Linked DNA regions of Kluyveromyces lactis. The protein of the gene in region 3 interacts with the protein of the main gene of each other region in a pairwise test. Links are inferred from orthologs where the notes say so. Each region holds a gene or a part of one and is shown on either strand. Other genes may lie near its edges.

Region 1 (6,629 bases), on a different chromosome or scaffold from region 3:
TCTATCCGGTATGTACTCTTTGGAGCCGATAAGTACTCGTAGTGTGTCGCTATCAAGCTTCTTGATCCGTTTCACATGAAGGAATGAAACGGGGTCATTATCCTGAATACCTCGTACGAATGGTATCACTGACTTACTTTCCCTTGGACGTACTTCGATAGACCAAGCCTCAACTAGATCAGGCACATCAACGTTTTTGGTATCTCGAATTTGCCAGAGGCAATCTTCGACGATGCATTTTATAAAATCGATCTTAGTGGGGTTCAGATGTTTCTTAACCATACTGTTAGCTTTTCATGTGAATAACTAGTAAATCTAGAGCTATAATTAAGCATCCATTTCCTTTACCCTTTACATATTAGTATATCATCTCATCGCATCGCATCTTACATTTCTATCATTGAAAAATTCATATCCAGAAATTATAGGCTACGAAACACTATTTACCAGTTTAGATCATGCTCGTAAGAAAGATGAACACTGAGAATAATTAATAAGAACCTTAAATTGATCATCGAGATGACTAAGGTGACTTCGAATAATGACCTATATCAATTGGTTTAGATGAAAATTCTTGTCGAATATTTGGAATCTTTAGAGTGCTATGAAACCCTCAGAAAATCGGATATTCTGATCAATGCTGACTCTAATGGGGTATCCAATCTGTTACTCAGCTGTTTCGCACAAGTTAACAGCAAACATTGCGTACCTCCTGAAATTGAAATATCTTCTACTTTCAGCTCATCGTATCACTGTGAAACTATAGAAACATGCATTCTCTACCTTTTGCACAAGAATTTTACGAATAATATACTGACTTATGGTTACCAGCTGGGAAAGAATTCAGATGTCATGACCAAACTGTTTTGCCGTTCATCGAACATAAGCGTAAGTGTATTGAAATGTAATAGCTGGAGATTGTTCCATCAGCTGGTTGGCACTGACAATTTTGTGAATTTGTTAATCAACTATTCCGTATATTTCAACACCGGCCATTACTTCAGGCAGATAATTGGAACCCCCGCTAACGCGCCTCAGGTGCCACCTGCATGGCTAGATCGGTCGTATAGGAGGGAAAGAAATACTAAGCTAACGATAGATTGGAACTCTGCTCTATATCATAAGATAAGACCGCAAGATTACAAGAATATCATTGAGACTGATCAGGGGCTGTTAATAGCTGAGATTTTTCCGAAAATATCAGAGAGCAGTAAGACACCTCGTTCTCTAAACTTTGCATTGAATAATCTAAAACCCATTTTATATGAGCTCATTCGAGCTCACGAGAGGTTTTCATATAGACACATCATCAATAATATATGCCCCAAATCAGATACTTTCTATTCATCACCCAAAAGTGTCATCAAACTGCTCATTGTATGTGTTAGAAAAACGTTCCCATTGGACCTGTTAGGATCAAATTCAAACTATAGCGTTCTATCAAAAGCGATTGCAATACTTGTCAAAAAACCGCTCCATTCAAAGATACTATTTGATGAATTATGTAAAGGATTGCGTGTGAAAGATGTCAAATGGCTAGAAACAAGGCGGCTTCCAGCTGGTGAACAAACTCAAAAGATTCCATATTATGATGTGAAAAATCGACAAGCGCTTCTTTATAAACTGTTTTTTTGGATCCTTTCCTGTTACGTCCCAAAATTACTATCTACATTTTTCTATGTGACAGAACTATCGTCGACTGTCGATATAGTTTATATTCGTCATGATACTTGGAAAACCATGTCACAACCTTTTTTGAAATCTTACTTTAGGAGGTATTTGCTTGAGAATAAATATTGTTTCCAGCACAGATCTTTCACAGAATCCAAGTTCAATCACAGAAATCTTCGTTTAATACCAAAAAAATCAGGCCTCGATTTCAGAATAATAGCGGTGCCGTGTAAAGGAGTCAATATACAAGAGTTTAACGAGTTTAATGATTACGTTACGAACGCTCTGAAGCCCACCAAGATTATACTGGAAAGATTGAGGATGAGACGAAATACCAAGTTTACAAAAGCATTCTCTCCTTTGGAAATACCCAAGATTGTATTAAGTTATAAGCAAAGGCTACTTTTAAAACATGGTAAAATACCGAATCTCTATCTTTTAAAGTTTGACATTCAATCCTGCTATGATTCAATTCCGGTTCAGAAAGTAATGAAATTGGTAGAGGCTCGGATATGTGAAGAGCAGCAGTTTTTTATTAGATCTCAAGATATACTGACAACTGCTTCCACTCGTCTGAAAAGGCTTCATGCTGTAAATGGAGACATACAATTCCAGGAAAATGATTTAGTAATTGATTCAGTCAAAACTACTGTCTTATCAAAAGAAGACGTTTTAACAGTAGTTAAAATGGAACTCTTCAAAACCAGTATCTTTTACAGAGGCAAGTGTTACTTAAGAAAAGATGGACTCTTTCAAGGAACTCCCTTATCTTCCGTTCTTGTTGATATATTGTATGACGACCTACTTGAATTCTACACCGAGTTTACTGATGAAAATGATTCAGATCCGATGATAATACGGCTGGTGGATGATTTTCTAATAGTTTCAACTTCCAAGAAATACATCGAGCGGCTTAATAATCTGGCTCAAACAGGATTCAAATCTTTCAATACTTATATAAACCCACAAAAAGTCTTGGTTACTTCATCAGAATCTGAAACATCAACAAATGTACCTTTTTGTGCACTGCAGTTAAATCTAAGAACCCTAGAAGTTTGGAAAGACCGCTCATCGTATAATGTCCTAGGAACAGTTTTGGGATCATCTAAGCAACTGTATAATAAATTACTCTGGATCTTTGAGATGAGACTATCTTATAATATGCTGGACGAGCGCTTAAATTCTTGGGAAACGGCTGCAAGGTTCCTGAGAGAAGTTGCGTTAAATGTAATTCAATCGTTCATTGTCCTTTTTAATAGGAAGAAAAGCAGCAGAAGATCTTTCAAACAATTTGTTTTCAACATTTTTCAGCGAATTGATCTTAACCTCTCTTCAGCTAATATGTTCTCGATGGAAAAGTCCGTCGCGTCAAAAGAACTGGTGTTGTCAGTTTTCCTTGAACAATTAAAATTAAGGAAGAACGCATTTGCAGACATTTTGACAAATGTCAGCGATTTGAAACTATTAATAGAGTTTTAATGCTATTACTTAAAATTATTGTACCTATATCAGACCAAAATTAACACGCAGATTTTCTTCGTCTTTTTGTTTTCTTAGGCGTTCTATCTCCTCAATGCCACCGGCCTTTTTGAAGTTACCTTTCTCAACGAAATTGCCCAACTCATCTTCAAAGGCTTCATTTTCCTTGTACTCTTTCTCTCTGTTTCTTAGTTTTTCTGCCTTTTTAATGGCTTCCACTCTACTGTCATGATCTGGGTTGAGATTCTGAACTTCAGTCAAGACTTGATCGCGGATCATATTATATGTGCCTGGCTTGGCTATCGGAAGAATGGGGTTTCCCTTATTCTTCTTTGGGGCCTTTTCCTGTTGTTCGCAGCACAATTTAACCAAATCAAATGTCTCCATAACCTTATTCAAGTCTTCTTGTAAATCAAATACGAGATCTTCTTGCAATGTCATGAACTGTTGCTCTTCACACACCCTATCTAATTCCGCTTCCCAAATAGTTTTCCAATTTGGCTTTTCGACATCTATATAATTTCTCATTTGATCCAAATCCTTCTTAGCGGAGTCTAATTCAGACGATACATTTTCAATCTTCTTCTTGGGTGTTCTCGCACCTCTAATGGCCACATCTTTACGTAATGCCTCAATGACATCTTGAAGATCGTCAACTTTACTCAAAAGATTATCAGAAACTTCGGATAACTTCGACTGGGACTTTTCCATATAATCGCGATTAGCTGACTTTCCTGTAGTTATTGAAAGGCTCTGGAATTTCTGTAGTTTTTCCACGATAGCGTTTATAGTATTTTGAAGCGATCTCTTTTGGTCGCTATGTATCTGTTTTAAAACGGTAATTTCGTGCCTAATATGAGCAACTTCTTTACGATGATCCTCATGTATAACTGTTGCAGAATCTGAGGATTTTGGACCACTTGAATAATCTGGTGACGATACGTGAGTACTATTTTGGATAATCTCTTTCAAATTTTGAAAAATTGTATCTTGCTTTTCTAATAAACCATCTTGAAGTTGGCGGAACTGTTCATCTAGAGACGATGATTGTACCTGTAATTGGAATACGCTCCCATCTATTATACCATGTAGGTGACTCTCTTCAAGTTCGTAAAATGCCTCGTATTTGGGTTCCTTCACATATATGTCAGGGAATACATCACCTCCTGGGGAATATGCAAATTTCTCAACAAATAAAAGTCTAAGCTTGTTGAAAGAGAGGTGAGAACTAGTTACACATCGTTTCACCTTCTCACCGATCTTCAAAAAGACAACAATTTCATCTATGCTTGAGTTATCACCTTTTGGTTCTGGTGCTCCTGTCATGGGATGATAATCTACGGATGAAGCAGAAGAGATTCGAGAAGGCTGTCTTTCCATTTTAATGCTTTCTGTATCAGAAACATTGGCCGCTGCTGCCGCTGCAGCAGCGGCTGGAACTGCTAAATTTTTAGACGTTGGGGAATTCGATGGATCTGAAGCTGTTTGGTTGGCTAATTTCGCCATATGATACGCTGAAAACCTCTTCGAGGCTCTTCTTTGCAGATTATTTCCCTTTTTCAATTGAGTTAACGCATCGCTTTCAGAACCCTTGGGAACTTCTAACGTAGGTATCTGTTTTGTTTCAATATGAGCTGAAGTAGATGTCGGTCCCGCGCCAGCCAAAGATGTCGTTGCGCTGACTACGGATGAAACGGAAGATCTTTGAGGAGTATGCTGATATTTCAAAGCATCTTCATTCCTGCTCAGTTTTATCATCGCCTGTTTAACCTTAAGTTTCTCCAAGAGTTTAACTATAATATCTCTGATCTGCGGTAGGTATTTATTCAACGTTTCCTCAGATGCAGTCTCTCTCAATGCCACCTCCAATATTCTTCGAAGGTCTTTTGGCACATCGCCAAGATCCGAAATATCAATTCTAGCATGGGTAAAATGTCTACTGACTAACTTGAAATCATTACCCAATTGAACATACACATCGGAAACATTACGCTCGGTAACTTTGCCCTTGGACCATTGCGTCAGAATTTGTAATAGTTGTTTAGTTGAAATCAATAGTTTCGTCACACTAGTTTCCACAGATGATGCTGATTTAGAAATTGGTGGTGGTGTTTCCATCTTTATCAGACACACCTTACGTACCTCACCCTACTGCTTCCACACACCTAACTACTAGCTAGGAAATCCAACGTACACTTTTTAAACGGTATGTTTCTTCAAAGCATTACTAGATCAAAAAGCTTTAGGTTTGATTTGGTTTGCATAAATCTTTTGTTGATAAATATCAAGAAACGTAATTTCCTGAAGTTAGGCCGAGATAATGAAACAGGAAAGTATGGAAACTTACCATTTCAGAAGCTAAGCAACCAACAGAGACGTGTTACCGCGTATGACATATAGCGTGGTTTCTGTGGGATGAATCAGGACTCTGTAGTCCCCAATTCGGAGGCTAGTGATGAAGAGATCGTAATACCTCTGCATTCGGAACCAAATGTATTTCCAATCTTCGATGACGAATACCAGGTACGCGTCATTCCGGGCAGTCTCGATAACGTAGCACAGACACCTCCTGATATTGGAGTTTACTCTAATAGTATAAGACGTGCATTGAGAAAGCGTAAAGCAATCCAGAAGATGCCGTATAGTTTGGATAGAATACGGCATCGGCAGTTATTGCAAGGGTACGATGTATCTAATTTCGAATCTCTAGCAGATCATATCAATCTGCCGAGTGGTTCCCGGCAAGATATTACTGTTAATACGGACAATGGGGGCGTGCTCAATTCGAGTCCTGTGAAGGGCGGCCTTTCACAGCAAGAACACTCGACTATTGCGTCAACAAGGCTTCGAAGGCATCACCATTTCCATATTTCAGATGATGATGATGATGATGAGGTATATGGTAATGCTGAACTAGACAGCGATGAAATTCGTGACGAGTGTCATTCGGAAAGTGACTCGAATCAGTTTGATAGATCCAGTTTATCCTATGATGATAACGTTGTTTTTAGAGGAAGGCAAGTCAATATCAGAACAGGATACAAAGGTGTATTACCCAAAATGGCGTGGAAGAAAGCACTTGATAACAATACAGTTGAAAGTAATAGACAAGGAAGAAATAAAAATAACCACTACGATGAAAATTCACGGAGTAAAGGTTTAGCCAAGAGAAAAATATCTCGTAGAACGTTTAATTCCAGAGACGACAACCTTGTAAACGAATTAATAGAATCGGATGCTGAAATTGAAGTTGGATTCCCGGAAACATATCTACGGCTACAGAATGAGCAAGATTCAATGGAAGACTCAAAACTAGAGGAATATTTTCTACAGAAATATGAGCCAGAACCAGATTCAGATTCAGATTCAAATCCACCATCTTCAGCTGATGATATTACTGAAATTACAAGCCAGGGGATCGAACTACTTACTCTAGATGATGATGAAAAGACTGCGTTGGAAACAATAATCTTTGAACC
Region 2 (6,770 bases), about 330 kb from region 3:
ATCATTTCGTTTCCTTTTCTTAAAATTCATCTTTGTTTTTTTTGGTTTTTGGAAACATACTATTTTCTTGGAAATAACCCATCTCGATCGATATCTTTTAAAGGAATTTTTTTTTTGATAAAAAAAAATTAATTACTTCCTAAAGAACAAAAGGGTTACATAAAACTTTCAAGAAACAAAAGAGAAGAGGGAAAAGAAGGAAAAAAGTCTCATTCTTCTTGTGAATCATAGGAGTACAGTCCTGTTTCAGAACATTATCAATTGTATTTTGTAACAGTGAGATAGGAGTTGCGTACTTCACTCGTTCACGTACCTGGAGAATAGCAGTTTATTCTTCTATTTTCTGCTTCCCATCCTTTTGTGATTGGTTAAAAAAACAGTGAACTCATCCACCAATATTCTAACCTTAGAGAAGAACTCCAGTCGATAGAGAGACACCACACAGTTCAACAATTATTCAGCATTTTGTCGAAAGCAAAACATTGTTTTCTTTGGTGATTATTCTGTTCTGCTATTTAATTGAGTTTCTTGAGCGTTTGACAAAAAGTGAATCTTCGCTCTTCATCTCATTTATCGTCTTTTTTTGGCATTAGTGTTACTTTAGTGCACATTTCCACACATTGATCATTCTTACGACGAGGCCATCATTCATATGCCAATAAGCAATATCAACTCAAATCCAAACTCCAATAACATCAACGAAAACCCCATGATGATCCATCCTTCCTTCGATACAACTTATCAGCTGCATCGTGGATTCAGTACTAGCTCTGAACAGTTATCAGCAGTTAATCCCAGCAACGCATCGCCAACACATGCAAATGGTTCGACAATACCTCGCCACCACTCGGACCACAGTGGTTCACCACTAAACCTCTCATCGGTACTGAACACATTATCCATTAACACTGGAAATCAACCACAAACCCCATCCATTGGTAGTTATCTATTGATATTGCGCAATATTCCTACCGACATAAACTTGAGGGAGGCTTATGCCCTTTTCTCATTGGCTCATGGTGTACTATCCATTGATGTGATACCTCATGAAGATAACCAACCGTACGTGGTGGCAAAATTTGAATCTCAGCATTTGGCATGCCAATATGCCTCTATTCTTAATATCAAATCCCAAATATTCGGTCCAGCATATCCATTCAAGGTGGCGGTGGAGGTCATCGACGAATTAACTAATCAACAGCTGTTTTTCCAGACAAACTCACCTCAGTTGCAGCCACAACTGAACACAAACTCATTTCAAATACCATCATCCGGAAGCGTATCCTCAAACGTTGCTCCAACGTTGACATCGCCTCCCCAATCATCAAGTCGGAAAAGGCCCAGTCTGCTAGGACAACGGTCTAGATTCTCATTTTCTGATCCCTTCAGCGCAGAAAATCCACATATTCCACCTGCACAAACGTCTGCTCAAACTCCACTGCAAAACATCGATGCTGGTAAATCATTCTTGTTAATGGAAGGAGATGGCATTAATGACACAATTTGGGGATCAAACCCTTCACTCTCTACTGTGAACAACATGGTAAATACCACGTACAATCAACAACAACAAAATGCAGTTGTAGATTGGTCTGCATCCAAGAATGGTGCTGCTAGAAAGCAAAGCAGTTCCGTTTTCTCTGGCCCTCAACAGGCCAATTCAAGTGCGACAAATTTACCGCCAAACTCTGATCCATCTTCACAGGTCGGTGTCGCCCAACAGATGAACGGTAGGTCCTCAGCTTCTGTGTCTTCTAAACCTGTAACACCAACTTCATCAACGTCGCATACTCCTCATAAATCTGGCAGCAGAACCAACATTAGTAATTCTTCATCTGCAACTAATGTTAACGCTAACAACTCTACTCAGTCACAACCTATCACCAGAAGTGTGGCAAGTGTTTTACAGAATACTCCTGGAATTTCTCAGGTGGACTTATCGTTGTTAGCAAGAGTTCCTCCTCCAGCCAATCCAGCCGATCAAAATCCACCTTGCAATACACTTTATGTGGGTAACCTACCTCCAGATGCCACCGAACAAGAACTACGACAACTATTTGGAGGTCAAAAAGGATTCAAGAGGTTATCATTCAGAAACAAGAACAACAATAACAGTGGGCATGGTCCTATGTGCTTTGTTGAGTTTGAAGACGTCGCACATGCTACAAGAGCTCTAGCCGAATTATATGGTAGTCAATTACCAAGACCAGTTGGCGCACACAACACCAAAGGTGGAATTAGATTGAGTTTCTCTAAAAACCCACTTGGTGTTCGTGGTCCAAACAGCAGAAGGAGTGGAAGCAGTGGTTCTGGCCAACCAACTAGCAACTCAAATAATGCTCAAAATGGTAAAACTATCAGCGGCAATCCAAGTTCAAGCAACAATAATAATGGAAGCACTGGTAGTAACAATAGTAGCATTGCCACTCTTGCAAATGGAGTCACTAATGATCTAAAGTCATCTACTACCAATTACTCCTACGAAAATGCATTCTCCAAATGAAAAATATTATAAAAAGATCATCTTCCCATTGCCTTTTTCTTACACTTCATATTTACGTCGTCATAACCCTTTTTTGCGTTGTTAAAATGACTTATGTTCGCACTTGAAGTCTTTATTGATCAATTATGTCTTGTTTCCAACTCTTTAATGTTATTTTGCAACCATTTTTCAATTCGGTTAAATCTCTTTTCCTATTATTTCCCCCAGTGCCTTTTCTCATCGTCGCTGAATGAATGTTGTTTCTTGATGTTTTTAATTGCCATCGGGAACATTATTTTGCATTTTTCGGTTTTCTTAGTTCTCTCCAGTTACACTAGCTATTTTTTATCTTGAAGCACTGGATGAACATAAATTTTTCACCAATCTTTTTTATCTCATAATACTATGTCATCTGAACAGATAAATTCCATTTATTGATAAGTGGCACGAAAATACCTTAACTCATTATTATATTATATATATATATATACCTGTAACAGTACGTATATTTTTCTGATTTTTACATCACCATCTTAAACTCATCAAATTTGGAAACAGGTAGCAGATCAATCTAGACGTGACCGTTTGCAATATACAAAATAATCAATATTGTTTAAATTACATATGAAATCGTTTCAGGAACCAAACACTTCGACTTACAAAAATGCCAAAGAAAGATATCAAGACTGAATTCATTCTTTTTTGCTGATTATCGAAGCTAAATCGTTATAGGTTTCCTCTTTCTTAATGTAAGCACCTCCAGAAGTTGAATTTTGTTTAGTTGTATTAGTCTGGATAGATTCTTGAGATTGACTATGTGAGTTTTGTCTTAGTAGCTTTTCCTTCATCTTCAATTCAATAGCCTTTCTTTCAAGTTCTTGAATTCTCTTTTGTAACTCTTTGGCAGATTGTGCCTCCAATTCTTCAAGCTTTTGTTTCCTTGCTACTATGCGCTCGTGCTGAAGCATGTATGGGATATTTTCGGAAATATTCCGTAACTTTGTTCTTTCTGGAGAAGTTTGAATATTGGCAGGAGTAGATTTCTGTGAACTGGCAGAGATTGAAGCGCGAGACTCATCTCCTTCATCTACCCCGGTTAGACGTGGTGTAGATGGGGTTTCAGATTGAGGTGGAATTGCAAGTGATTGTTGAGACTTAAACTTTCCTGTATTTATTAGAGAGGCGAAATTTGACAAGGATGGAGCTGTACTGTTTCTAGTCAACCCTTTCATCAACCCTGAAGAATTACCCTCATTGTTTTCGTCATTGATAGAAGTATCTATAACTTCGTTGTTTTCAATGTCCCAGGCTGGCACAGACGCCAATTTCTCAGCACGGTAGTTTTCATACAACAGATTTTGTGTCGTGTCCTTAAACTCTTGCAAATGGGACCCGAAGAGAACCCTTTTCAACAATTTCAAGTCCGAAATGTTTTCATTATCGATGTCAATTTTACCCCATGGATACTCACGATAGTATTTACCGGTAGCATTATCGCGTTGGTCGGCGCAGATAATAGCAAACGGCTGAAGTCTCGCTAATGCCTTGTTCTCTTCAATTGTTTCTAGATCATCCTCATTTTCGTCAACTTCGAATTTGTAGATAGGAACGTTAAATCTATCAATGTCTTCCATAATTCTCTTCTTGAACCTAGTCAATTCATCAGGTGTGAACGAATCTGCTCTAGCGACAATTGGTAGAACATTTGTGTAGCGGGATAGTCTCTTCATAATTTCAACATCCAATTCACGTAACCCATGTCCCGTGGGTTCAATAAAGTATAACGCGACATGAACTCTTGTATCCTGGAACCTTGGATTTCTCTTGATTCTGGTCTCCTCAGCGAGTACCGAATCAAATTGTTGCTCCAAATATGAAGCAATCTCATCGAAACAGATCCCATTATTTAAGTTTTCACCCAGTCCCAGGGTGTCGGTGAGAAAGAAATTGATCTTTTCAGGGGTAGCGCTATCGATATCCTCACTAGATTTCGTCGTGATCTCCAGGGCAGTAGACGTCACAGTGATACCTGGTTCCAAAAACGGCGAGGCTGGATCAAATGCCGACATGTAGCTGGGAATACCGTTCATCGAATTGAACGTGACAACCTTAGTTGGTTGGATAATCTTAACATTCTCGTTATTCGTGCTAGCTGGAACATCTTGTTGATATCTATGAGGGAAAATGGTAGATTCCAATAAATTGTTAGCGAAAGTGGTCTTACCAGTACCAGAAGCACCAACCAACATCATCGAGAAAGTAATACCTCTCTTCTCCTTCTTTCTACGGAACACACTGACCCCATTGTTGCTTGGTGAGAATACCTGAGATACAGGACTAGCGGACATCTTTTTATTGCTTCCAAGATCAAACGGCTTCACTTTTCACTTCCAATTATATTCTAAATAGAATCGCCAAAGTACAATGATTCCTATCCAATTGATTGAAACTCGTCTCGTTCAATGGTTCACTTGATTAATGTAGCTCTGCAACGTATAGAATACACTTTTTTTATCAAAAGACGTTGTTGTTTCAGTCAAATTACATTCTCGTCTAAATTTAAATATGGAATTGATATCTTTTACGTGATATTAACCGTTTCGAAACTTTTCACCGATTAAAAGGCTCGAACATAGCCATGGGAAATGAGACACTCAAAGATACCTAAGGCAAGGACAAAAGTTACCAGTGACATGGGAACATCAAATGGTTACAGTTCGATGAACCACATATCGTAACTAGTCTATGTATTGGGGAACTAAGGCATATATACATATATATGGCGCCACTTCTTCACGTGACTTATATTTCTGTCTCAGTGATGTGAATGTATATGTCCGTCAGTGGATTACGTTATAAGTTGATAACGATCTTCGATCTAGGTCCGGCTAGCTTTGGTACTGCCTTGGTCTACATATGAAAGGCTTCGGATTTTAGCCCTTGCAGAAGGGCTCTATGTGTTCAATGAGATGCGTCTTTGTTTTGCAATTTTGTCGCTTTTAGTTCTTGCTAGAACATAAGGTGATGCAATGTGGAAATGTTGCACCTTAACGAAACGAAAGATAGAGAGAAAGAGAGAAAGAAATACACAGTAAGCGAGAAAATCTGCGGAAGCGGCAGCATACTTAAGGTCTTTGAACTGCTTGTTACGGACTTCAAAGATCGGCCCTCCCCTGCTACGTACACATACTGGAAGAGCCATGTCTGATATCGGGAGCACTTCACATAGTAGTCCGACAGGCATCATGCATCATCAGATCAAGCTCGACGTATTTTTGATCAAGGGTTACCAATTGATATCCAACGGAGAAGTCTTGGAGCTTCCCGAGCTATTGAATTCCACGATTAGTCCGAATCAGCAATCTCCTATATCGCTGAAACCCTTGGACGAACGTCATATGCAATATTTCCAAAGTCTCTCACAACTTTACGATGCTCTAGTGACAATCGTACCCTTAGATGAACAATCGAACGTACCCAAATCAAATATCGAATTGTTTCAGCGATTTCAACAGATATTGAAAGAGATATTGCTAAGTTATGACGTGAGCCCGTACAATCGGTATTTTTTGAAGTTGGATGAGAACAACTGGAAGATACGGGATAACGTGGACGATCCTCTATGGCAGGTATTATCTTTCAACATCGACAAAGTCTACGACAAGACAACGGGGTTAATAACACCGTTGAGGAGGCCAGGGAAAAGTACCACTGCGTCTGCTAGGGAATCGCCCGTGCTTGCCCCCAGACGTAAATCGGTTGTAAATACAATCACTTCACCGGACTTTTCATTATCACAGGTGGATAATAAACTGGAACAAGTGAGTAGAGTACAAGATCAGGATTACTATTCTAACGTCCAGGCAAATGCCAACCAAAGTCCCAATAGCCAGTTTGATTGGCCCAGAGCAATGACCGAGAGTACCAATGGGAAAGCTATGGAACAGATCAATGAGGAAGAGCAACCTGCGAGAAAGCGAGTACGGAAATATATCACTAGAAAAGATTCCGACGTCGTGGGAGATGTCTTGCAACTACAAAATACACCACCAGTCAGTGACCAAGAAAAGACATCATCTCTAACTGAGGTTACTATAAGGACGTACGAAAAACTGTTGCAAGAAAAAGACCGTCATATAACAGATCTAAAGAACGATTTAGAGGAACAACGAAAAGAGATCATTTGGTTGAAGAAGTTAATCATGGAAGATATGAAATATCTCCGTTCGACAGTGAGAGCAGGGAACAACCAATGAACTCCTTACAAAATAGCATATACATACTGTAT
Region 3 (8,884 bases):
TTGCCAATGCGTTCTTGACATTTGGCAAGACAGCAGTAACCCAATGAACTGGTTCATATGGTGGGTTCTTATTGTATGCTTTGAGCAATTGAATATCAGTATCTTTAATGTTATATTCGTTTTCGACAAAAGTGAGTAACTCCTCAACTAAAGTTTTTAACGATTCACGATTATCCGAGTTGAAGTAGAACAAATATGGAACGTTCAACAAGGTGTTGGTATAGATGGCTTCAGAAAGTGGGGATCTTTTCTCCGTGGAATTGTTTAAATCGACGGTAAACTGCAATAATTTCTTGTACAAGTCAAGCAAATCATCTGGTACCACCATTGGCGATAGAATGGAGATAAATCTGAGTACTAACTTAATTTTATCCCATGGTCCAATATCATGAGATTTGGTTTGGTAGTCGGGGTCATGACTTGAATTAAGTAACTCTTGAATTTGGTCAAAGAAATAATTCAAAATACTTTTACCAATTTCTGGTTTAGCTGAATTTAGCACCATGGTTAAAAGAGCAATACCTGGTTGCTTATGAGGTTGTTCCAAGATAACTGCTCTGAAAGTTTTCAAAAGTGCGTTGTTGAAATACTCGTCATTACCGAATTCATGAACAATGGCCTCACTTAGGAACTTGATATCTTCTGGAAAAGCCTTGGCCGATTCACCCATGGTCCTGATATCAGGCATCATGTCCTTACAAAGCATGACAACGGGTGGCAGCCTTTGCCTTTTGGCAAAATGTGGCCTCGCTTCACGATAACCACTCTCTTCTTCATAATCTACAAGAATCATTGTGTTTCAGAAACAGTTGTTAGTAATTATATGCTTTTCCTTGGAAAACGTTAATGTAAGTCTCAGATATATATCTGATACTATTGCTTTCTCTCTGAGTTCTAAACCAAAGTGTCAACCAACCGACTACTTTTAACGAAACTTCTTCGATATTATTCAGAGTAAATCATACCGAAAACTTGAAGTATTTATACCGATTGTCGATGGGATGTCTCTCTAGTCTAGATGTGTGTTTTGTGGCAATCTTGGAACCGTCTGTCATCTGTCTCTCTTTGCTGACGTCGCTGTCAGTTGTACTAAGGGAAAACTTAAATCTGATATAACAATACGTCAGAGATGGATAGAACCTTCAAAAAACAATGCAAAACTCTAACGTCTTGAATGGTGACATAAATTAAACATACCAAAACCTCTTTTTGACATCTCTCGGGTACTTGATGGCGTATTGTTGGATATAATACTGATATCAGTTGGCAAAATCTTGATTGTAACGTTATGAATTCGTGTTTTCATATATTTTAATTTTTTTTCAATTTTCATTTTGAATTCTTGTTATGGAGACGACCAGACAATCAATGCCATTCGATACTTAGGCCAACAGGTACATAGTTGAAATTGTTAAAGCTTACGAATGTCAGGGTTTCACAGCCTGTAGATTACCATAATTAGATAACAATGTGTTTTCAACGTTTTTTAACATATATATGTATATTTCCCAAATTATATAGGTATATGCTTGACTGGAAAAGAAATCGCAGAAATAACGAGACCTTCAAAATCGGAACGAACCATACATGGATTCTTTTCATTTTGCTTCAAGAATCATGTACTTGCTTCTGCAACTGTTCTATCAGTAGATCTTTGGACTGCAGTTGCGTCTTCAGCTCATTTATTTGAAGGGCGAGTTCGTTAGGAGATGGCTTTATACCATGTTGGTATAATAAATTCTGTTCTTCTGCAATGAAACGTTTGAGCCTTTCTTCGTTCAAATTTTGAATCAACTCAACAATCTTTGACGATTTTTTCCTTAATTCCGTTTCGAAATCCAGTAGAGAAAGAGCCTGAGGTGACTCTGGTTCCTTCGGATTCTTTGATTCTAATTCACTTTCTAATCTACCTTCCCTTGCGATAGACTCGGCTAATTCCGTGGAAACCAATTGTAGCTCTTGCATCAACATCATATTTTGTTTCAAAATATTCAAATACTCTTCAGTGATCAACAGGGGTTGTTTGGGATCCTTTTCAGAAGCAAAAGATGGCTTATATGGCAACGCGGAAATAGGTTCAGCCTTCTGTTTTACATATTCTTTCTCAAGACAAGGCACTTCCTGTATCTCTGTGCTTTCACCAATAATCATCGACTTACGAATTTGCAAAGTTGATCTGTCAAATGTCTTTTCCTTATTACTATATTGGTCGTGGTGATTACCAGCAGATGACGCGGAAAAAAGAGAATGATATGATATTCTACGTTTATCGCTGGATGCACCCGATTTCGCCCTGAAAGTATCATTTAACTGGATTTCGGATCCTTCATCTACTGCCATCGAACTCCTGCTGCTTCTAGCGGACGAAGGTACAGTAGTGAGCGGTCTTTGATCGCCACTCTTCGTCCTTTTGATCTTCATCAAAAAGTTCTTCGCTTTCTGGAAACTGCTGCCTGATTTCTTCAAGCCTTTTTCACCAGAACATGCGATATAGGAATCATGTTTTGATTGTAGTACTTCGTTAGTATTACTATTCCCACTGTCGACCGCCGCATGGGCTTTTGATACAATTGATTCAGTTCTATTGACGTTGTCGCCAAAGTTTCGACTGGAAGAGTTGTCCGAGATTTCAGGATTTAATATTGGTGATAGATCCACGGGAATATTTTGTATCAAGGCGGTGGATGGCCTGAGATTTATGTCATCATTCAAAGAATCTTGCTGGTTGCTTTTCGTTTCCGAGGAATCCACTAGGTCGTATTCCTTTTCCGTTTTTTCCTCCTCGATCTGCAACACTTGTCTTGCGGGTTCACTTAACGTTAATATATTCAATTTCACCAATGAATCAGAATCATATTGCTCATCGCTATGTGAATGATCCTTATTCCCGCTGTAGGTTTGTTGATCTTCTTCTTCCTCGTTAAAGCTAGGAAGAGCCTTGTCTTTTTCAAAGTCCTCATTATCATTCGACAAAGTGGCATGTAGTTGGTATTTCACCGGTGATCTTGGCAGTGATGGTATCTGATTTTGTTCATCGAATGATGCGTTCGAGGGAGTTGTCGGAGAACTTTGTTCAGAAACCCTACCAGAAATGACGCTATTCACACTGGCATATGAAGAGGATGAGCCCGATGCCGCCTTATTCACCAGCTGCTGTGGTTGTGGCGGAGGGGCTAATGAGCTTGTTGCTTGTCTTTCATTGAATACATTATCCTGCGATACATTTTGTTTTGGTTGATAAAATGGTTGCGGATACGATTGAGTTTGCAGGGACATGGCTCTTGGACCAGAGTTTGGACCATATTGGGAGCTACCAGTAACAGGTGGACCTCTTGCCGGCACTGGTCCATTAACTTGACCAGGAAAACCCATGTTACGGGATCCTGTTGGTGACGCGGCATACGGACCTTGATAACCGTTTCTAAACTGTGAATTTCCGTTCATTTGAGTTGGTGGACGTCTGTCAGCAGTTAACGACATTGTGCGTGGGTCATTTGGAGGACCTTGTTGGGGAGGATACCCTGGTCTACCAGCCATCGGCGAAGCCCCCCCTCCCATCAAAGAGTTGAATCTGCTACCGTTTGGAGGCCTAGGGATTCTTGATTGCTGAGGGCCTGCTGGACCCATCATTGTTCCCGGGCCAGAAACACCAGGCCTTACCATAGGACGTTGATGATAATTTTGCAAGGACATTGTTCTAGGACCACCTGGAACTGAGGCACTGAACTGCGCTTGCTGCTGCTGCTGCTTCGCAAGACTGTTAAATGCCATTTTCTTTTGATTCATCATAAGTTTTCTATATTCTATATTGTTCATTGAGTTTGTGTTTCCGGAAGTCACGATGGTCGGTATTATTGGAGAGGTATCATCTAGATGTCCACCGTAACCGTATGCGTGCCCACCATTGTTTCTCATGGAAGAAATATCATTGAATGTAAGGAAAGAGGAATCATGATCCGAAAAGTCTGTATTATCGTCATCCTCATTAGCTTTTTCGTCATATTGACTGTGTCTCTTTTGATTGAGTTTCTTGTATTTACCCTTGAAGAAATTAGAGAAGGAAGCAGTAGAAGAACTCATGGATGATTTCCTACTACTGTCTCCTGGGTAATCAAAATGTGGTCTTGGTTGCATCTGCAGAGATTGTTGTCGAGGCTGTTGCATGTAATTATATGACGAAGGGTTGTAATTGGACTCGTACTGCTGGGCTTGTAACGGAACTACAGGTGGGGCCATGGGGCCTGTATTTCCCTTCTGCTTGTTTATCTGCTGCTCCTTAGTAATATCAATATTCCCTATATCGCTGTGAAGTAACTGGTTCCGCAGCTGGGCCTTGGAAGACATGCCCGCTCCACGTCGTTGATCAAGCGCAGTAACACCGGCATCCATATTCCACGATCAGAAAAGGTTAGAAATAAAGCACAACCTACAAGAAACGAAAAGATGGCTAGTTGTAAAATGAGCTGCACTTACGTATAGAAAAGTTCCTTTAACAATGACAAACAAACAATCTAAGGACTTACCTCTAAGTTGTTATCAAAAGTCCTGATGTACCAAAGAAGCGTTCCAAAATCGGTAGGGAATAAGTCAATTACACTCGTACTGTGGATTGGTTCCTCTGGATTATAAATTCTGCCAGAACCTAGGCTAAATGACTGTACTAGAAAGAGAATAGATAAAAGGAAATACAACCTATTAATAGTGACTAAGTCCAAAACTCAAACTGATTCCTAAATTGTTTGAACAGACCTAAGATTCATTTACTTTCCGTTCATATTTTTTTTTTTTTCTCAAAACGAAATCTGAATGCCATAGAAGTTCCGAGCGAACATGAAATGTATGGATTATGCATGAAACAATAACGAAGAGTGAAAAAGGAAACGGAAGGCAGCTATTTAGGATGTGCCTTTACACAACGTTGTATATAATAGATCGTAGTAATCTGACGAAATAATGGCTTCTGCAACCTTTGTATTTGAATTAAATTTTATATGGTTCCCAAATGTTACAAGTCTATGCAGTGGTTATTGCGTTTAAAAATGATTTTACTTACTGTCCAATGTAGTCTAATCAGAAAGTTGCTCAGGTGAGAGAATGGTTTATCACCAGCTTAAGCTCTTCTTGATTTTGTTTTCCTTTTTTTAGGTGTAGATGATGGTTTAGGATCAGGTTTCGCAACACCCTCTAGATTTATCTCTTCAGAGGGCTTGGAAGGCTCAGTCTTATCAGTCTTTTTAGATTCAGCTGTTTGTAGATCTTCGTTGGTAACAAGCTTTGTGTTTTGTAATTCGTAGATGAACCACGTCACGGTGATCCATAGTAGAGTGGCGATAATCGTTAATGCGATGAAATGGATATTTTTGGTTAAATAGATCTGCGATCCCAACACGCAAAGCAATAGTGCAAACGAGATATGAGTAGCAATGATCAATTGAGGCGATGTTCCTGGTTGGAAAATGCTTTCCCACAGTGCAACAACAAAGTTAGTCATTCTTGAGTGTCTCAGGTGAATTTCGTTTTTTATAGTGGTTGGCAACGGAGGATTATAATATGCTGTACTAGAAATCGATGATGAGCCTGGAGTAGAAATCAGCAAGGTATAGCCAGAATGCAAGTGAACAAGCTTGTAAGTATGAAATGACGACTTCCTATTCTGATCGAGCCGGGTGTATTATGTTATGTCACTGGCAAACGTATGTATATGTATAGAAGAATTTTACTTTTAAAACTTTAATATAGAGATTTTAAGATACAGATTATGTATGTCAAACTTATAATTTACAGACCGATAACAGAGGAATAATGAAGTTAAAGATAAAATGGAATAGAAAAGGGACCACATCAGAGTACTATTGGAGAAACTGATGATTAGGGTGTCCGATGCATGGATGAATAGTCAAGTATGATCTAGGATCATGTTGGACATGATGACATTTGTATTGAAAAAGATGGGAAAATAAAGTGACAGTCTGTGTTTTTCATCGCTGTTCGATTAGATACCAGCGCCGAAGATGAAAGAACCAGCCATCATCAAAGCGAATAGGATACTGTACTTAGAGTTGATTGGGTTAGCAACCATACCTGGAGCAGCATTGTCAGTGGCAGTGCTGTTATCACCTGTTACTGCAGCAGTAGAAGAACCGGTAGCAGAAGCAGAAGAATCGGAAGTAATGAATCCTGTAGATGTGGAGCCAGTTTCACCAGAGCCAGTAGCACTAGAGGTACCAGAAGCATCAGAAGCACCAGATTCACCGGAGGCAGTTGCACTAGAAGTGCCAGAAGCACCAGTGGCATCGGAAGCAGAAGCATCGGAAGCAGAAGCATCGGAAGCAGAAGCATCGGAGGCACCGGAAGCGTCAGAGCCAGTAGAGACAGAGGAAACGACACCAGTAGATTCAGCACCAGAGCTCGTTTCAATGGTACTGGAACCACCGTTTCCAACTAAGCCAACAGCAGAGGAGGCAGATGAGGAAACAGAGGAGGCAGCGACGGCTTGTGCTTGTACTAGAGAGATTGAGGCAAAAGACATTATTGTGTTGTTATATTAATTTGGTGGCTAGTGTGAATGAAACTATTGATCTTGTATATTGCAGCTGTTAGGAGAGAGAACATATAATAATGAATATACGTATAAGCCGAGTTTAGATGAGAAATTGTGATCTTACCAGATAACAAACGCTCCCTTTATATATTAGATTCATTCAGCATCACAAGAAGCTGTAATCGCTTATGGCTTATTACCAAGTCCAGGCGTATTGAACTTTAAATTGCATGCTGAACTGCCTTGCTTCGAGAAATACTGAATCTGGAATTTCACTTACTACTATAGGTAAGAATTGAAAGACTTATGAAGTAAGATTCTCTCACCAACACACGTTCGAAGCATCGCCAACTAGCCAAAAAAACACAAAAATAGCTAGAAGAATAATAAAAGCTAAATATAGAACAGCCTCTGTTTCAAACAAAGGTAATTTCTTCAAATTCTTGTTTAGAATGTATTCCCAAACTGCTGAACCTAAAGAAGCTCAGACATTATTCAAGCACGAAATGCCAAAATTAAAAAAAAAAAAAATGATACCAAGCGGTTTAGCCTCTTCTCCACGTATTGCTGCCGCATGTGTCTCGAGATTCTAAATTACATGCTTGCTTCACCGGTTATGGGACAATGAACCGAATGAGATCGCTAGATCTGTAAGTACCACCAGAGTTAAAAGCAAATGATTACTTAAGTCTCGATCTGGCCAAATCTGGAAATTCAAATACGAAAGGAATCTCTGGATCGCAGTACGATCCGGAAAAAAAAAGGACACGAGAGTAGGAGAACGGACGGACTAGATTGGGCCAATCGATCCAGGGGAGCTCCGCCCCGAAACAAAATTAAACCAAGCCAAGCAAGCGTTCATTATCTTACGTGCTTTTCTCACATGACCTTAAAATCGAAAGCAACCTTAAAACCTTAAAGAGCTTCTACTAATAGAAGGAACCTAAAATACGAAAATATTGCATTTCAAGACATCCGAAGACGTAAGAAAGGAAAATAAAAAAGTGGAGGAAGGATCCATTAGACTGGAGCTAGTGTAATTAGAACTAGAACAGGACATAAATAGAAGTTGGAAATATGACAGTGGAAAGGGTACGTAATACAAAGTCCGGTTTCACACTAATAATGAGAAATCAGTATTGGATCTGAGATCGAAGCAAGCTTTTATGCTAATCGGGGGATATTGGACTAGCACCGCCAATTAAGGATGCCAGGTAAGACAGCGGACTCTTGAAGTTCTCGAAATTTTCTTTCACGAGCGAGAATCACCTATTGTCTCAAATTATGCATATCATTATTATAGTATATATGTTGTTCTTTTGAGTTACATTAAGTTACATTATTTTCACCACTAGTGATCGATTGAATTAGAATGGAGGGATGAGTAGTGGGTAAACGAGTGAAAAACCTATCAAAGAAGGTTCAATTACAATAGTAGACTTGAAACGAACAGTAGTGCTGACATGGCAAATCTTGGTCTCCAGTGATGGCCTGCATTTCCTGATTGTGTAGCAGAAAGCCCTGTGGAAGACGAATTAGTGGTAGCGGTAGGTTCTTGGGTAGTTGTGTTTTGGTTTATTTCTCCTGTTGCTGCGATAGGCGACGACGAATCTGTTATTAGAGAAGAAGGAAGAAGTAGTGAGGCAGTTCCCGCTGAAATTTCTATTCCACTTTCTTGAGCTGTCCCTACTGTAGGTGTAGACACAACAAACGTGGATGCACTAACGTTAATGATCTGTGATACATCCAACGATAGGATAGATGTTCCACCTAAAACATCTCCTCCGTTGGAAAATGCGTAGCTGACACTAGCGGTCTGTACTTCACCATCTACCTTGATTATATTTGTAACGGACATGAGGTTATTTGGATATTTTTGATGTTATTCTTATTGCTATGATATGGCTGAAATAATGCTAATGAGACAATTTTTGTGATGCCTCTGTGTCGTTCGATTGGGCTTGCGTGTTGAATTTCAGACCTATACTTCCAATCTCTTTGAGTTTTATACACTTATTCCAAAATGTCAAATGTAAAACACTTACCAGACGTATAATATATACAAGAGTCGATTACGAACTTTCTATTTGTAGGACTGTTGATATCACTCAAATTCTTGACGCTATATCAATTTTATTCCTTTTCTTCTCCAACAGTGATGTACGGTTTACCGGTGAAACATACTCACTATTCGAACACCGTTTCAAGGTTCATTTTTAAAGAAAAAGAAACAAGAGCACACACATACACACACAGAAGAAGGCAAAGGCCAGAACAAGTTCCAACTGAGCCAGACCTCATCATCCAGGGTGTGTAACATCATCCGGACCTGCCTATACTACG

What was found. The genes of interacting proteins can lie anywhere in the genome.
Region 1: the proteins of KLLA0_F17545g (region 3) and BUD6 interact in a protein complementation assay, tested with the Saccharomyces cerevisiae proteins (3 studies listed by BioGRID). The link is inferred for Kluyveromyces lactis from reciprocal best matches to the Saccharomyces cerevisiae genes EPO1 and BUD6.
Region 2: the proteins of KLLA0_F17545g (region 3) and SHS1 interact in binary tests that used the Saccharomyces cerevisiae proteins (3 or more experiments, as listed by UniProt). The link is inferred for Kluyveromyces lactis from reciprocal best matches to the Saccharomyces cerevisiae genes EPO1 and SHS1.

Annotation. Positions count from the first base shown.
Region 1 is NC_006039.1:1,621,386-1,628,014, reverse strand, and holds BUD6 (formin-mediated actin nucleation enhancer), read right to left. Parts: upstream 5,269-6,629; coding exon 3,175-5,268; downstream 1-3,174. Other genes in the region: TAD3 (Tad3p), read right to left, coding at 1-282; EST2 (telomerase reverse transcriptase), read left to right, coding at 565-3,150; MMS22 (Mms22p), read left to right, coding at 5,566-6,629.
Region 2 is NC_006042.1:1,937,749-1,944,518, reverse strand, and holds SHS1 (septin SHS1), read right to left. Parts: upstream 4,831-6,770; coding exon 3,175-4,830; downstream 1-3,174. Other genes in the region: KLLA0_F20834g (uncharacterized protein), read left to right, coding at 653-2,503; GCR2 (Gcr2p), read left to right, coding at 5,683-6,738. UniProt on the Saccharomyces cerevisiae protein: Septins are GTPases involved in cytokinesis that assemble early in the cell cycle as a patch at the incipient bud site and form a ring approximately 15 minutes before bud emergence, which transforms into an hour-glass shaped collar of cortical filaments that spans both sides of the mother-bud neck.
Region 3 is NC_006042.1:1,608,231-1,617,114, forward strand, and holds KLLA0_F17545g (uncharacterized protein), read right to left. Parts: upstream 4,390-8,884; coding exon 1,609-4,389; downstream 1-1,608. Other genes in the region: STO1 (Sto1p), read right to left, coding at 1-793; PKR1 (Pkr1p), read right to left, coding at 5,111-5,491; NCW1 (Ncw1p), read right to left, coding at 5,993-6,529; KLLA0_F17611g (uncharacterized protein), read right to left, coding at 7,968-8,399.